3 linked regions of the Callithrix jacchus genome follow. The protein of the gene in region 1 interacts with the protein of each later gene in a biochemical or structural test. Links are inferred from orthologs where the notes say so. Each region holds a gene or a part of one and is shown in the gene's direction. Other genes may lie near its edges. The genes, in order: CUL3, KLHL20 and DCUN1D5.

What was found.
Region 2: the proteins of CUL3 (region 1) and KLHL20 form a complex in vitro, tested with the Homo sapiens proteins (2 studies listed by BioGRID and IntAct). The link is inferred for Callithrix jacchus from reciprocal best matches to the Homo sapiens genes CUL3 and KLHL20.
Region 3: the proteins of CUL3 (region 1) and DCUN1D5 form a complex in vitro, tested with the Homo sapiens proteins (2 studies listed by BioGRID, with this or other methods). The link is inferred for Callithrix jacchus from reciprocal best matches to the Homo sapiens genes CUL3 and DCUN1D5.

The regions. Positions count from the first base shown.
Region 1 is NC_133507.1:146,311,369-146,317,380, reverse strand, and holds the start of CUL3 (cullin-3), read left to right. Parts: upstream 1-2,703; 5' UTR 2,704-3,019; coding exon 3,020-3,085; intron 3,086-6,012. UniProt on the Homo sapiens protein: Core component of multiple cullin-RING-based BCR (BTB-CUL3-RBX1) E3 ubiquitin-protein ligase complexes which mediate the ubiquitination and subsequent proteasomal degradation of target proteins.
Region 2 is NC_133519.1:29,305,800-29,311,811, reverse strand, and holds the start of KLHL20 (kelch-like protein 20), read left to right. Parts: upstream 1-2,407; 5' UTR 2,408-2,549; intron 2,550-3,006; 5' UTR 3,007-3,142; intron 3,143-3,490; 5' UTR 3,491-3,531; coding exon 3,532-3,554; intron 3,555-6,012. UniProt on the Homo sapiens protein: Substrate-specific adapter of a BCR (BTB-CUL3-RBX1) E3 ubiquitin-protein ligase complex involved in interferon response and anterograde Golgi to endosome transport.
Region 3 is NC_133511.1:3,104,519-3,110,430, reverse strand, and holds part of DCUN1D5 (DCN1-like protein 5), read left to right. Parts: intron 1-3,904; coding exon 3,905-4,013; intron 4,014-4,097; coding exon 4,098-4,202; intron 4,203-4,883; coding exon 4,884-4,986; intron 4,987-5,912. UniProt on the Homo sapiens protein: Contributes to the neddylation of all cullins by transferring NEDD8 from N-terminally acetylated NEDD8-conjugating E2s enzyme to different cullin C-terminal domain-RBX complexes which is necessary for the activation of cullin-RING E3 ubiquitin ligases (CRLs).

The DNA.
Region 1 (6,012 bases):
TGGTGGTTAAAAGCCAAGGGAAGACACAGTTCATAATGATTCTTTTAGCTGCAGCTAAATTTTGGTTAAGCAACACCAACATATGAAAATCTAGGCTCACAAAACAAACATATTAGAGTTACCATATTTACTATATGCTTTACAATTAAGTAGAAATATACCTTAATGTAGTGAGTTCCTAAATGCTGGCCTGTGACGTCTCCTTAAGTTCAGAGTGAAATGAGAAAAATCAGTGTGATGCATTGTTCATCCTGAGGCTGGTAAATTCAAGAAACTGTCATTTATTCAAAAATGGATCTTCCCCATTTCTGAGGTTAAAATACATTTTAATAAATGATGGGGATAGTCTATGCTAATTGTTCCCTTTTAATGCCCTTGCCAATATAAAGTCAAACCTATATTGACTCCCTAGCTTATCAGAAAATATTTTAGTGGACTGAGATCCAAATGTCAGTGACTGGCTTAGTTTCAAAATACGATTTATTTTATAAAAGCATACAAGTGTTTTTTTAAAAGAAACCTACCTATTGAATAAAGGAAGTAGTATAACCTTGGCTTTAACGCCCATGTTAGTAACAGCCAACAGGTGGCAAGTGGCTGCTCTCAGGGCACTGAGAGCAATGCCCAACTCTCAGGGCTTCTAAAATGTATTCACTTATTCAAATTTCATAGTAGCCCAAGGAGGAAGTACTGTTATTGTCTCCATTTTACAGATGAGGAACTCTAGGCATTGTCAACTCCATGTCCCAAAAGACACATAACACAGCTAGTAAAGTGGCAGAATTGGGATTCAAACAATGGCTCCAAGAACATATATATATTTTTTAATATATATTTTTAAATTTCTTTTTTTTTTGCCAAGAAGGCTGAGATTACCGTGAGCAGAGATCACACCACTGTTAAATTTCTTTTTATGGTTCCTCAGAGATCGCTGTTCTGAACATATATTCTTACAGTAAAAGAAACTGGGCCATAAGAGTACAACCAACAGGAAAACATTGTTATTATATTCTAATATTATGGAAATGAAGGTTCAATTAGCATACAGATTATAAACTCCAATACAGACATTATCTTATACTGAAGTCAGAGCCCCTCCCAATCTTTGTTTATTAACTCAATTCTTGATAACCTATTTTTAGCTTCAGTATTTACAGATATTATCTTAAGCAATATCCTTGTTTCTTAAGCTCTTGCTTTAATTAGACAATACCAAAAAACTCCCACAAAAAAAAAAAAAAAAAGAAAATATGGTATTTGCAATGGGGCGTTTCAACCGAGTAGGGGATTTAAGCGCAATAACTCATAAGCTTACTAATTAGAGTTAATTTAGGGCAAATTCAACCTTACAGTCAACAAATGTGTATTTCACTTTATATTAAGTTTGCTATTTAAAAGTATTACAATTTCAGCTTCTAAATGTACATATCTATCCCTAAAACAGCTGTTTCTTTAAAACAGGAAGATGACAAACTTTAGTAGGCACTCACATACTCCCTTGCAGAGTCAGAAACCCAAACATAACAGCACTTGGGCAAGTAGGTAAATGAGGAAGTACAGTTCATAATAAATGGACAGCAAAACCATGAGTCAGATTAGACATTTTGAATATAAAATGATCAAACCCCTCTCCCCCAAAACCCAAAACTTTTCAAATATACAGCAACTGTATCAGACAGTAATTTTGGCTTTAAAAACCTACAGTACTCTTGGTAATAGTAGAAATGACTCATCTGGTTGGTTAAAGTTAGGTTTCTATCATTCCATTTAACATCATTTACCAAATGCTGCATTTCATTAATGGAGCTGTTATTTTTTTCTGATAGTAATGAAAAACAGGTTTTAACATTAATAAGCCCGGGGTCCACCAGAAAATATCAGTGAATCAAGAGGTCCCGAAGCTTTTGCAGTTTAAGGGAACTTTGTAGATTAAATTTCCACCCTCCAGTCCTGAGAGCTGTTGTGTGGACACCCAGTCCGAATACCTTGTTGAGCATACAGGACAGTAATTTCCGATCATGCAGGTAACTCCTGCACAAACTCTTCGTTCTAGTTGCTGGCTTCTGCTCAAGTACCCATCCCTAGTCCATATGCCCTAGAAAAACATAGGAACCAGTTCGGGACGTAGTTATCCATCTAGCACCCCACGCTCCTCCTCAAGACTAAATCTTGCCCCAGCCCAGTAAGGCCCAGCCCACTACAATCCTGCTCCTGCTCTCCAAACTTCCCCCGCCCACTCCCCCCACGTGACCAGGAACCCCCCTCCCCCCCAACCCCACTTGAAGTTCCACCAATCAGCAACCACCTCCGCCCAGAACCGGGGACCTGGCGCTCCTCTTTCAAAAGGCAGCTTAAACCTCCCGCTCTTAGCCACGCCCTCTTTTCGCTACCCCGCCCCGCCGGCCCCTACCACTCCCCCCAACTCCCCATTCCCCTCCTCCCCTCTGGTGGCGTCCTCCCGCTCCCGGGTTTCGCCCCGCCCCACAAGGAGTAGCGCGCTCGCCCTCTTCTCGCGAGATCTGAGCGTCCCCGCCGCGGCCGCCCGCTTCCCCCTCCCGTCCTCCCACCTCCCTCCCCCCGCATCTCTCACTCTCCGGCTCTCCTCCCTCCCTCCTCCCCCCTCCACCCTCTGGGCCGGATCTCGTCTCGCTCAGGCGGAGGAGGAGAAGGAGGAGGAGGAGGACGACGTTCGGCCTGCGCAGTGAGATGTTTGTCCGTCGCCGCCGCCGCCGCCATCGCGGAGGAGCGCGATAAAGGGAGCGAAGCCGGGCCTGAGGGGGACCCCGTGGAGCAGCCGCGCCAGCGCAGCCCCCCAGCCGCGTCGGAGCCGCCGGAGCCCGAGCCGCCGCCGTCCCCGCCGCCGCCGCGGCTGCTCAGGGGCCGGCCAGCTCCCTAGCCCTGCCCGGGTCCGCTCCGCCACCGCCCCCAGCGTCGCCCCTCGCCTGCCCGCCCGCCTTAAATGTGACACCGGCGCCGCGGAGCGCGACCTGAAGCCGCCGCCGGGTAGGGGACGAGCACCATGTCGAATCTGAGCAAAGGCACGGGCAGCCGGAAGGACACCAAGATGCGGATCCGGGCCTTTCCGGTGAGTCTCTCCCCGGCGTCCGGGACCCCGGGGCCGGGGGCCGAGCCGAGAGCCGCACGCGAGGCCCGGGCTGAACTCCCCCAACAGGCCGCAGGCCCGGCCTCCCCTCCCCCACGCCCGCCGGCCGCGAGGCGCGAGCCTTCCCAGCAACCGGGCGGCGCGGGGCCCCGGCGCGGCCGCCCTCCCGGGCCGTTCCCCGCGCCGGGAGCCCGGGCCTGGCCCCGCGCCCCCGTCTGCGAGCTGCTTCTCCAGCCGCCTCGTGGGCGTTGGCTGCGGCCGGAGCCCCTCGGCCGCCCCACGCCTCCCCACGTTGCCGGGGTGTAGGGCCAGTCTCCGGCTTTGCTGGCTGCGGCGGAGTCCTCCCTGTGTGGGGCATGTGTGCAACTTTTCACGTGGGGTTTCGCTGCACTTTCCAAAATAACCCAGTCTAGCTTTTAGGGTGATGAAAGGGCTGCCCTCTCTGTCCCCCTCCCCAGGAAGGGCTCTGCCCTCAACTTGCCTCCGACGCAGTGACAGTGGTTGCACGGAATGCTCTGTGATCATAAACTAGTAACATGGGGTGTATTTCATCCCGCAAGCCTCCTAAGCACTTTACAAACTCTTGTGCAGGATTGCCTCGCCACTCCGAGGAAGGCCGGGGGAAAGCCACAGGGAGCAAACCGGGCAATTGGTTCTCCATTTCTCAGCCTTGGGAGCCCAAAGAATGAGCTTAGTCGCCTTGTGGAGTTGCTTTCTTTCATCGGTTTCAGTGACAGCAAACGCGTTCTGCTCAGAAACTTACTTTTTTGGCATTAGGTTGAGTCGTACCCTTTCAGTGTTTAGGACATAGGGTATAACTTTGGGTGTCATATCTGATTCAGATACCTGATGGCAAGCAATTAAAATGTACTCTTGTTAACAAACTGGACATACTTGCCCATGTTGCTACAATAAAAGGCATACATCAAGACAGACCAACTAGCAATCGGACAGAAGATTTTAAAAAGTAAAATTAGAGAAAGATCTTGGTCTTCCCGTCTTAGATTCGCAAATACTTCATATGATGTGCAGGCATAAGAGAGGGATTTATTGTCACTTTTTAAAGCATGCTTTTCCTGAAGTGCCCTTGTAGTGGGGAAAAGACTTGTTATCTAAATATGATTGCCCCAGTTGAGTCAAGTAATTTAGTCCCAGAGAACCTGAGGACCTCTGAATTCCTAAAATTGAAAAGGATACACCTGATGTAGAATTCTGAAATGCAAGAACATTAATACTAAAGTCAGTGTGAGGAAGCTTCTGCTTTCTGTAAATAGGTACGATGTATTTGGGAGAATTAAGTGTTTTTGATAATAAAGGCTTTTTGAATGTTTCAAACTTTTTTCTAAGTAAACGTGAGAAATTACATCAGGAAGTCAGCAGTGTTGACAGAGTACTAACGAAGTTCACTAGTATGTTTTCCTTTATAATTGGGCAAAGAGCTGGCTTTATGAATTTGTGAGTAATATTAATAATTTTCCTGCTAAATTCTGACCATTTTAAAGTAGAGTTTAGAATTTAGAATTTTATGAAGTTAATAGTTTTGTACAACAGATTTTCTAGGAGTGTTTGCGGTCCTACACTCCTCATTCTTGAATTCGAAAGTTCTAAAGATTTTTTTCTAAAACGTGGAGTAACTCACATTTGACATCGACTCACTCAGGTTAATGGCCTTCTGATTGACCAGTTGTACTTCCATCTGTGTTTAATCAAACTCTTTGATGTCTACAGGTTTCCCTGATCTTACCTGTTTTGCCATCATTTCATTTGTTCAACAAATACTGAATATTATGTGCCAGGCGGTCTTGTGAGGGTTTGTCAGTATAGCTAAAAAGACCAAGATCCCTGCCTTCTGGAGCTAGTATTGTTGAGGAGAAGAGATGGGAGAGAATTTCATATTCCTTTAGCTGACCAGTATAATAAAATTGTGTGATAGCTTACCACGTAGTACTGGAACTGAATTTTTTTTTTTTTTTTAGCTTCGTTTATGGTTATGAGCTAATTTGGGCCTATTCTGTCTATAACTTCTCTTTCAGGTTATATGTAAGTGACTAGTTTTGATATTCAGTAGTTAATAGCTGTTGATTTCTAAAATTTTTCATTACTGTTTAATAAGTATTAATAACATTCATAAGTGGTTCCCATTGAAAATAACAATTCTAGTTTGGCCGGGCGTCTGTGGCTCACGTCTGTAATCCCAGCATTTGGGGAGGCCGAAGCAGGCAGATCATGAAGTCAGGAGATCGAGACCATCCTGACCAACACGGTGAAATCCCATCTCTACTAAAATACAAAAAATTAGCCGGGCATGGTGGTGGGTGCCTATAGTCCTAGCTACTGGGGAGGCTGAGGCAGGAGAATTGCTTGAACCCAGGAGGCAGAGGTGGTGCCATTGCACTCTAGGCAACAAGAGTTAAACTCTGTCAAAAAAAAAAAAAAATTATAGTTTGAGACTTGGTTACAGATAGCTATATATCTCAGTGGTATGGTATTTCATAGATTTATCTTGTTAACCATGTGCTTGTAGACCTTCAAAATTCCAGTCTTCCAGATTGGCAGTTTTATACATAACTGCAGACTGCATGAGTTGATGGTCAAAAGTAGTTAATGCATAGTATTACATAAAGAAAAAATATGGCCAGGCAGGTGAATCACCTGAGGTCAGATGTCTGAGACCAGCCTGGCCAACATGGTGAAGTCTCGTCTCTACTGAAAATACAAAAAAAGTGGGGCCTGGTGGTGGATACCTGTAGTCCCAGTTACTCGGGAGGCTGAGGTTGGAGAATCGCTTGAATCTGGGAGGCGGAGGTTGCAGTGAGCTGAGATCACACCATTGCACTCTAGCCTGGGCAACACAGATCAAGCCATAGCACTCCAGCTTGGGCAACAAAAGTGAAACTGTCTCAAAAAAA
Region 2 (6,012 bases), on another chromosome or scaffold:
ACATCTTGGTGCCATCTGTGAAATTGGAATGATGATAATAGATCCTACCTTGAGAGGACTAACTTGAGTATTGATGAGTTAATATAACAAGCTACGTATTTGCTAGTATTATTATTATTGAAATAGAATAATGACTTTGGAGAGCAATTTGACTAGTGCTGAAACAGTTGAAGCTGTGCATAGTATACAACCCATCAGTTTTACTTCTAGGTACATACCCCAAAGAAACACTTACATATGTACATTTTTAAAAAATCTATGGTATATTCATATAATGGAATACTAAATAGCAGTGAAAATAAATAAAGTAGTGCAGTAGTTCTCAAACTTTAACATGCGATATAATCACCTGGAGAACTTGTTAGAACACAAATTACTAGGTCCCACCTTCAGTTTCCAATTCAATAGGTCTGTAATGGGGCTCAAGGGTTGGCATTTCCCAAATGATGCTGATACTGCTGTTCCAGGACCACACTTTGAGAATCATGGAATTGGACCTGCATTGATCAACATGGACAAATCTTACAAACGGAAGGTTGAATGGAAAATGCAAGTTGCAAAAGAATACATATGCTTTGATACCACTTATATAAAGTTTTTAATATGAAAAATAATTCTACTACATGTGTATACATATCACTTATACACATGCAGTAAAAATTTTTAATAAGATCACAAAGCTAGTCAGTTATAGGTCTAGGATGTGTACCTGTGTGTATCTGTGAAATCACCTTTGCAAATTGAAACTGCCTTTGCAAAAATTCTGTCAGTGAAAAAATTATGGCAGTCGGGGAGATCTGATCTAGCCAAACCCCATCTTGTCTTTAGCTTTCAGTCTGCCCTTAATTATTCCTGGGTTTAAGCCAAGATAACTTAGGGAGACATTTAGTTTAATGGTTTAATAATTATAATTCTTCTCCAAAACAACTGTCTTTGCAAAGCTACTGAGAATCTACCAGACTAGGGGGATAAATAAGCCTGAATTCTGTTAAGGTGTAGACATAAATGATTGCCAGCCATTATTCCAGAGGTCACAAGATAAGCAACTTCTCCAACTACTCCTGCAGATAACAACACTATTGTAGATTCTAAGATTGGCCTTTTGAGGTATCTTTTTAAGTTTCTTGCATGTTTAACTACCCCGATGGCTCCACCTGGACCCACCAACTGTTCCAATGGCTCGACCCAGCAACAACTCAGTAGGCAGGAGGACCATCTCCTATACCCCCAATCAGTCAGCAGCAAGCACCCATTGCCTAGCCACCCCTACCCCTTTCCCCAAACTACCTTTGAAAAAAACCCTAGCCCCCAAATGCTCCAGGAAGCCAATCTGAATAATAATAAAACCTCTTCCATTTTTCCACTCAGTGTCATGTAAAAACTCTTTCTCTATTGCAATTCCTATCAGCTGTATCCGGGGAGCAGGCAAGAATAATCTATTGGGCCATTATATCTGGATCTAAAGGCCATGAGTTTTCCACTACAAGCTAATTAACAAGAGGTATCCTTTCCCCTCAGAAACAACTAGACAAACCTCTGTAGAGTCTATGTAAAGAACAGCTAAAGAAAATCTGGTTATTACTTAGCCTAGTATACTTATCAGGAAATCAGCAACTCTTTCTCTGACGTTCCTGAAATTGTAATCCCCACCTTACACTTCTATCACTTGTTTTCTAAATATTAATATACAGTAAAAATCAGGTGGCTGTGTGCTATGGGAAAATCTGGAGGAAAAGATAACTTGAAAAATACATTTTTTGACTCTGCTTGCTACTGAAAAAAATTTTTTTTAAGAAAATATACTCTTCTCTCCCTAAATTAAAGTGAATCCACAGAAGATGTGTTTGGTGAAGTGTCTGGTGCTGAATACAAACTAGAAAGAGCAAACTGACACAGCCTTAGAGCCTGGATAAAACCCTGGTGTCTTGAAAGCTCAATTGTGGGAAATCTGGAGGGTCAGGTCTATCTCTGATTTGTCTGTGTATCTTCTGCACCTGGCACATAGTAGGGGCCTGACAGATAAATTATGCCAACCCATGCGTGCATGCAATAATCCAATCCACAATTAGGAACACTGTGCCCAAAGGAGACCCACCGACTACAAAGAAAAAATTCCTAGCTTTCTGTGACCACTCCAGTCTTTCTACTGGCTTTGCTGACGAAAACAAAGAAGAGGGGGCTTCAGTATCAAATACTGCCAGTTCCTCAGTGAACTCAAAAAATAGTTACTCTAGAAATACAAGGAATCTCGAAATACATGTTTATCCCATGAGGATAAACAACCTGTGAGGTTACCTGAATTCCCTAGCAAAGGGCGCGACTGCTTCCGGAGCCGCACCGGAACCCCTTGGCGGACTATGTGGGTTTCTGCAGGAACGATTTAGGAGTAGGACTACTTCCTGCTTCTGGACATGGGCGGGTGAAGGGAAAGGAAATAGCTTTAAGAGCGGCATTTTGCCTGCGCTAACAGCAGTAGAGGAGTAGGCAGAGAGGAGTGGAGGGCGGAATAGACGGTGGAGGCTGCGGCAGAGAACAAAGTGTTAAAGCCGGTAAGTGAGCCAGCCGCCTTAGAGCGGGGAACAGCGCACAGCGCTCCAGGGCTCGCTTTGCAAATATGTGGTCCCAAGTTGCTGAGCTGCCCCATGGGGTCAGGGCCGTGCTTCGTCGGTCGCTTGTCAGACGGCGCCGGGAAGAGGCTGTTGGGGCGCCAAAGCCGGGCCTCGCGGAGCTCCAGAGTGCGCTCTCGCAGGCTGACAGCCTATCTCGTAGCCAGAGGAGGCCCTGGGCAGTGTCCTGCCTGGTAGTAGTGCTGGGGTTCCGCACCCTGGACGGCTTCCCCAGACAGTGTTTGGAATTCAGGGAAGGAAGAAAGTAGTGTGCGCCCCCATTTAACCCTCGGGACCTGGCGAAATCTGCTACGTGGGTAGTGAACATTGTTACGGGGACTGAAGGAAATGCTTGTAAAGAGTGTTAGTCTGGAGCCATACTTTCCCTGCCCTGTTCAAGCTCCCTGGGCTGTCGGAAGCGGAGTTGGTTGTTTGTAAAGGCGAATGCTGACGCCTCCTCCTCCTGTCACTTCGAGACAAGTTAACAACCTTCAGATCCGTTGTTAAAGCAGCGTGTTCCATATGTGATCTATCAGGTTAGTACTGCTGTGGGTGTCTGGTGATTGCTCTGTAAATTTACTTGATGGCGAGATCACAGTTAAATATGTCCAAGCACTTTTTGAAGAGAAGCAAGACTGATCTAACAGTCGGGACTATTTAGCATATTTTCCCTTACCTTTACATTTAATCGTTTTAGCATGCACAGTAAGGATGGTAATCTTAAATATATTAGATTAAGTTACTGTGCAATCTGCAAAAGGCCTGTGGTATAATAAGATAGGAAACTTGATAACTGACGAAATGAGCGAAATGATTATATAAAGATTGTTACTGTAAAACTCAGAAATCACTTTTATTAATTTCCTGCTTTTCTGTTGTCTTAGGTTCGGCTTTAAAGTGTGGTGAAGGGTACTTTTCATGGTGCATGGAAGGAAAGCCAATGCGCAGGTAGGCATTTAGGAAGAAAATCTTTGGTTTCACTTATTAAAATTCATCATGTAATTATTTAAATTTTTAAAAAAGAGTTTCAATTGTAATAAGTTCTGCTTGCAACTAATGAGTCTTGTTCTAAAATAAATCAAAAGTAATATTAAGAATTAATAGCTTTTTAGTAGAGTAAAATATAGAAGTTAAATTTCTAAAAAGTGCTGTGGATTGTATATACTGTTAAACAATTTTTCTTTTTTCATGTTTTTTTACAGTAAATTATTAAGTTCACTATGATACTATGTGGATTTATTATAATCTTCAGTCCCCTATAAAATGTAGAGAATTCTGTTGCCATATAAGAATCATAATTATTTATAATACAGTGTACTGCATGCCTAATTATGGTTTTGGTTATTTCCTTAATATTCAATAATAATAAAGCCTACTCACATTTGTTCTGTTAATTAAAATAGCTGCATTGCAGAGAAGATTGTATAAGAACTAAAAAAGGTATTAGACATAATAACTTAGTCCATAGAAAAATAGAAACAATGTCTGGGAAAATATAGACAAATAGGCCCTTCCAGCCCTAGAATTTAATAATGCTCTTTCTCAATATGTTCTATCAAATGAGACTAGAATCTTTATTGATACAGAATCAGCCTGGTTCTTTATTTTTTTTGATTTTTAAATTTGTTTTCTATTATTGAACTCTAATTATTTGTTATTTAACATCAAAGATAAACAACTTTTGCAGTTCTTTTAAGAGAAGAAACATTTTATAATGGGAATATGACTTATAACTCAGAACTTGGAGCAAGAATCAGAATGTATATCTTTTTCCAAATCTGTTATTTATCAGTTGACATTGAACTGTTCATCTTCTCTATACCCCAGTTTACCTCTTTAGTGTATCTGATCAGGATATTGAGGATTCATGAACATTTGCAAATGCTTTAAGATCTCTAGATGAAAAGATGTTATCAAGATGAAAAATACATTATCTTGTTTATATTTTACTCTGTAATAGGAATATTTTACCCCAGTGTACATGAAAAAATTAACAACATATATTAAATGCTTCATCAATTCAATTCTAACATTACTGCAAAAGATTAGATTGCATCTCATCTCCAGCTACCATAAAATGTCATATCTTATGTAATTACTAAAATAAGAGCTTATTATTTTTTAAAAGAATGGCAAAGTGTGGGAATGTTTTTGATTTATCAGTAGTTTCTGTATAAAATATTTGCTTAATCATTCATACCTGCTGTTTTTTTCTTCCTTTGTTACATAATACTGTCAGCTATTCAAAATCATATTGGATAATTCTAATGCTGTTAATTGTTAAGTTACAGCTCTTTCTTCATCACTATCAGTTGGCCAGAGCGTAGCCTACTCACATTGGTCTCTGATCTTTCACCTGCTTCCTACATTCAATTGTGGTCACACCTTCCTATCCTTTTATTGGGCTGTCATTTTTGCTGATGCAACCCAGAAGGCAGTCTCTGTAATAACTGGATTTATACTCAGCTGCTACTAAAGAAGCTTTGAGTGAAAAATAACTTTTTCTATTAGATTATTTGAATACATGTTCATTCTGCCTACTAGATTGTGAGCTCTTTGAGTCTGATGTCTTCAGATATTTGCATCACTAGTACCTAATGATTACTGAATAATTGTTTGAATAGGACTGAACAATTTCTACAGACTTTCCCAATCCAAAAAAAATCTATGAACAAGAAAAGACTGAAAATTATGGTTGAAGGTATTCTAGTTTCTTGATTGTAAAGTTTTATGAAATCAATTGGCATTTTATTAGTAAAGTTTCATTACATCACTTATTTACTATCATTTGCATACACAATGCAAAATTTAAAAGATACAATAGGATATTCAGTAAAAAGTTAAGTCTCCCAGTGCTGTCCCCAGTTCCCAGTTCTCTCCAAAGGCAACCACTGTAAGCAGATTCTTACACGTTCTTTCAGAGCCATTGTAGTTCATACACAAATATATATATATATAAGATGTCTTCTCTTTTTATTTTTTTAATTTGTATTTATAGAGATAGCGTTTTGCTGTGTTACCCAGGCTGGTCTCAAACTTCTGGGCTCAAGCAGTCTGCCTGCCTCAGCCTCCCAAAGTGCTAGGATTACGGGTGTGAGCCACTATACCTGGCCAACATTAGTGGCTTTTAAAAAGAAAAGATGGCAGTGGCTCACTTTTCTTTTAAAAAGAAAAGAGCGCAGTGGCTCACCCTTGTAATCCCAGCACTTTGGGAAGCTAAGATGGACAGATCCCTTGAGCCCAGGAGTTCAAGACCAGACCAGCCTGGGCAACATGACAAAACCCCATCTCTACAAAAGGAAACAAACAAAAAAATTTAGCTAAGTGTTGTGGCAGGTGCCTGAAGTTCTAGCTACTCAGGAGGCTGAGGTGAGAGGATCACTTGAGTCTGTGAGGCAGAGGTTGC
Region 3 (5,912 bases), on another chromosome or scaffold:
ACTTGAAAAGAATGAGTATTCTATTGTCTTTGAATGGAGTAGTCTGTTAAGGTCGACTAGATCCTGTTGGTTGATGATGTTAAATTCTATGTGTTTATTGAATTCTATCTAGTGTTTCTATCAATTGCTGAAAAAGGGGTGGTGAAATATCCAACTGTAATTATGAATTTATTTCTCTTTTCAGCACTATTAGTTTTTACTTACATTTTGAAGCTCTATTGTTTAATGCATATGAGGTTGCTTAGAATTGTTTAGGATTCTATGTCTTCCTGGTGGATTGACTCTTTTATTATAATATAATTATCTTCTTTGTTCTGATCATTTTCTTTGCTCTGAAGTTGCTCTAAGTCTATTTTAATATCATCTAATGTAGAAAGCCACTTTCTGCTTTCTTTTAATTGACGTTTCTATGAGATATTATTTTCCATTGTTTCATTTTCAACCTGCCTATACTATTTGAAGTTAAAGCTTCTTCTAGACAGCATATATTTGGGTCATCCTGTTTTTAATCCACTCTGTCTTATTGGTATATTTAGACTACTAACATTTAATGTAATTATGAATATATTAGAACTTAAGTTGACATTGTATTTTACAATTCAAAACTTTCCCTTTGTTTCCTTTTTTTATATCTATTTCTTTGTCCTTGGACTTTTTCTTTTGCTGATACTTTGTATTTTTTTTCATTTTTTTATAATGTTTTTGATTACTCATTGAAGCATTCATTTTATAGCTACTTTAAAGTGTGTCAGATGATTCTGAACATCTCTGTAATTTTGGTGTTTGCAAGTATTGATCGTCTTTTTGCATTCCATTTGAGATCTTCGTTTGACAAGTGATTTTTAAAATTGAAACCTGGACATTTTGGGTAGTATATTACAAAACCCTCGATCTCCAGATCTTATTTGAACCTTTAGTTTTAGCTATCTTACTCTAATGCTGTTCTGGCAAGAGAAATCAGGGCTGCCACCTTATTACTGCCAGGTACAGGTAGAAATTAAATTTTCTACTCTGCATCCATTGACATCTGAAGAAGGATGTCCCTTGTGACTGCTGGGCAGAGATGAGAGTTCTGGGTTCCCACTAGGCTTTTACTGATACTTTCTTGTCTGAAAGGGATAGGGGTGATGGTGATAGCCCTGACTCTTCACTTGGCCTCCTCTGTACAAACCTAGGGTAGAGGAGGATTGGCTGCTTGTTACTACCTGGTGAGAACAGAAGTTCATGTTACCCATGTGGTTTCCACCAGCATTGCAGGAGTTGGGAGAGAGGCTTTATTGTATCCCGGTAAGGGTAGACATTTTAGGTCCCCATTCAGTGTTTGCTAGCATTGGTGAGAGTTGGGCCATAGTTTCTTCAATGGTTTTTAATTAGAGTGTTTATTTTCTAAGCATTTTCTGCTCTGTGAGGCTCCTCCTTTCTTTGTCTTTTGGCTAAAGAAAAGGCAGGGTTTTATTGGGGCTTTTTGTCTCCCCTCGTTGGTGTTTCTGGTTACTAGCGTCTTAAGCTCCAAGTTTAGAATATATTAGGCAAAAATAAACTCAGAGAACTCACCACCATGTTGTTCCTCACGTTTCCACCTTTCAGAGTCTTTGTTTATTTTCTGTAAAATGTCCAGTGATTTTAGTTGTACCTAGGACAGAGAAAGAATAAAAAGTACATTGACAGCATCCCACTCAAGTTAGTGCCCCTTTTCTTTGCACCACTTTAGAATCAAACTCTTTGAAAGCATTCATCTGTACTTATTTTCTCCAGTTCCACTCTTTTCATTCTCTCCTAAACCGATTCCAGTAAGATTTCTATCCCTATCACTCCTTTGAAACAACTCTTGTCAAGGTGCCGTTTTCAAGTGAATACTAAAAGCAGAAATACACATGCATTTTTGAAGTACAAGATCTTTTATTTTAACCATTAGGTTTGGGAGTACATATGAAGGCTTGTTATATAGGTAAACTATTGTCACAGGGCTTTATTCTACAGATTATTTCATCACCCAGGTTTTAAGCCTAGTACTCAATAGTTATCTTTTATGTTTCTCTCTCTTCTCCCACCCTCCACCTTCAAGTAGACCCCAGTGTCTGTTGTTTTCCTTTTTTGTGTTCATAAATTCTCATCATTTACCTCCCACTTATAAGTGAGAACATGTGGTATTTGGTTTTCCAGCAATAGCTTGCTAAGGATAATAGCGTCTAGCTCCATCTATTTTCCTGCAAAAGATATGATCACGTTCTAAATTCTGGCAAGATTGGTCAAGAAACCAACAGAAAAGCGATGAAGATAAATAATGTTGATGCAAATAAGAAAATGTTATGAATAATTTTAATCATATTTAAATAAAATTGTATGTAAAATAATCTAGTTATCAGAAAAGTATGTGACCAAAACATTCAAAAAGAAATAGAAAATCTGAATGGTCCTATAGACATTAAAAATGTTGGTTTATTTGTTAAAAGTCTTTCTTCCTTTCCTCAGTACTCACCTGAGTTTGGACAGATGCTAATTCCAGAGTTACATAAGCTTTTTCAAAAACAGGGAAAAAAGTAGCAATTCTCTTTTTATTTTCTGAATCTTACACACTACAAACTTGTTAACAAAACTGGCAAGGAGAGTGAGAATGAAATTTAGAAGCTAGCCTCACTTAGGACATAGCAAAAATAACCCCAAAACCTAGCAATGTATAAAACAGGTAACATGACCAAATTTGACTTATTCTAGAAATGCAGGGTTTAATTAGTATTAGAAATTTGTCCAGAGTGTTTACACACTAATGAAATTATGATACTACACATCACAGGTCTTTGCATTATTGATTCAGTATAGTCTTCGTTAAATCTGAGAATGCCAGGTGTCTAGAGAGCATGTTGAATACTGAAATTCAGTTTTGAGTGGAATACTGTGGATCACAGTAGATGGCACAATTATTTTTGATTAAAGGGAGTCAGATGGTCTCTCAGAGGTGACAAAAGGTGACTTAGGTTTTGATGAGTAATATTGTTATCAGCATGTTGGAGGGAACGGTATTTCAAGTAGAAATAGTGGATGCTAAAGCATGGCTGTGGCATTTGGGAATGGTAAGTTACATAGTTAGAGCATGGTAAGGTTATCTGGAAGTGGCAGGAGATGACACTAGAGATTTGTGCCAAATTGTGAAAGGCCTTCACTGTCTTGCTTCTTGCTAAGCAGTGGAATTTATCAGCCCACTGAGAGAAAGCCAGTTGAGATTTTTGAGCCTTCCATATATTTAGTTGTCATGTCTTTTAAAATAACATGTATAACTTGTTTGCATGCTTTTGCATGTATAACTTATTTGAAGTTAGGTGCTTCTACTGCTTGGCTTTTTGTGTACAAAAATATAGGGATCTGGATTTATGACTGGACCACTTAATATAATGTATTAATTTCCTCTGTGTTATATCCTAAACTTTTAAAACCACTCATGGTTAATCTCTTTCACCAAATTGTTCCATAAGAACTTTCCAAAGAAAGAGGTGACAAGGGCATTTTTTATCACATACACAGCTAAAAATGACAGAGCAAATGAAACTAAATGAAACTAAAAACGATCTGTCATTTTTAGCTGTGTGTGTGATAAAACATTTTAATACATCTCTTTTTAACTTGGATTTTATTGGAATTTTTGAAGGAGTTGTTTGTTTTTAAGAAAAGTAATTGGACTGAACTTTCATTGATTCCCAGGTTTCTTTTTTCCCTTTTATCTTTTTTTTGTTGCATTGGTAGATGCAAGGCAAGAAATTTGTTATTCTAAATTTGTGAATCAGAGAATTTTAAACCTAAATTAACTTCATAAATGAACTCACTTTTTTCTTAATGGATTCCTTCTAAGTTCCAATGATAGTTTGGATTTTCTTGATGATGTAATTGTTTGATATTTCTTTTATTTAAGGTGTGACTGCACAGAAAAGTTACAAAACAAATTTGACTTCTTGCGCTCACAGTTGAATGACATTTCGTCATTTAAGAATATCTACAGATATGCCTTTGATTTTGCAAGGGTAGGTGCAGTTTTCACGTTTTGTTGTTTTAATCGCTTTCATCTTGAGGCCACACTGAGGAAAACTTTTTCACTTATATTTTAGGATAAAGATCAGAGAAGCCTTGATATTGATACTGCTAAATCTATGTTAGCTCTTCTGCTTGGGAGGACATGGCCACTGTTTTCAGTATTTTACCAGTACCTGGAGGTATGTATGTTTTTTTGAATTTTGAAAGTATTATTTTAAAACTTAGTCTGACTGAAAGTTATACTTTTAATTGAGGAACAAATAGATTTTTAATAGTATGCTGTAAAAAAACTCCTTGAGTAGAGAAAAAAATTATATTAAAATATGTATATATCAGCTGTTATTTTAAGATAGAAGTTCATGTTTATAAATACATTTTGTACCTAAGATATTTTCAATACTACCTTCAACCCATGAAAGAAACCTCCAAGAAATATATTGTAGCACAGACATTTGTCATGCAAAATTAGTTTTTCGGGGTTTTGCCAACTCAAAATATGGCTAAACAGTAAATCTTAAGTAGAGAAATGATTTACAAGGAAGCAGCTCAAGAGAACATACCGGATGTAGGAAACAGTATATATCTTGATCTCCTTGGTGGAGGGGTGGTAACACAGTATGTTGTAAAAGTTAGTTTTATCTTTAAATTAGTACTCAGTGCTCTTATTATTCCTCAAAAACGAAAGAAAAGTACAAAATAGATGATATCGATCTGTAAATGCCCATGAGGAATCTCTTAGAAACACAAATAGTTTAAAAGAATAATAAATGTTCTAGGAAAATCCAAATCACAAAGTTATAACTTAGTTTACTAAATTGAGTAATTTTTTTTAATCCAAATATTTAAATCGTTTTTTTCAGCAATCAAAGTATCGTGTTATGAACAAAGATCAGTGGTACAATGTATTAGAATTCAGCAGAACAGTCCATGCCGACCTTAGTAACTATGATGAAGATGGTGCTTGTAAGTGTAACATAATGTATTCCTGTGAAAATAAAATTTCCAAAATCTTAAATGAGCATATGCATTTGTGTATTATTAGCATAGAGGTTTTAAACTTTGTAATAGTAACTGATGATTTAATCGTGTGAGGGATGTGGGAGAACTAGAGAGTTTAGATTCAGCAGTATTATATAAAATCTATGCTGGTAAATGAAATGTTTTCAGTTCCTCGATAACCAAACATTTTAGCTAGATTTAAATCGTTTTTGCATCCAGAAGCTAAAATTCAGCTTTGTTTCTGTCTCTCCTGGCACTTCCCTATGGAAGAAAAATATAGTCATGATTTTTGAGATATGACAGCAAAACAATCAGTAACTCTAGAAAAAGCTTTAAAGTTATTATAGAATATCATGCCACCCATTAACAGTATGGCATATCATGTCAGTATAACTTCCCTCTGAAAACTATAAATTGATTGTGAGTAAACTGATAGTGAAATATTTATAATTTTTCAATCCCTCCAGTTAAAATATCTGTCCATACTCCATAAAACAGGAATTGAAATAATTAGATAAACCAAGTTAATTCTGTAGAACTATATATTATTTCAGTTCCCACCACCATTTTGGTTGCTTGCGTGTGTTTTCAGTGTTCAAAAGGGTTACATGGAAAGGTACATTCCTATAAACTTCAACTGAAATTATACACTTTTTTTCTGTGACACTGAAGAAATAAAATAGCAGAAGGGATAGCTTCATTTCTTCTACATGTATTTTCTCCTCTCTCTCCAAGATGGTATAAAATTTGGTATTATTTTAAGGAAATAATACCTAGCAGCAGTAAGCTGGCAGCCCAAAGGCTGTATGTGGCCTGTAGATGTGTATATTTGTTTATTTCAAATCAGTATTTAAAACTAGGAGATTTTGTATGAAAATAAAACTTTCAGA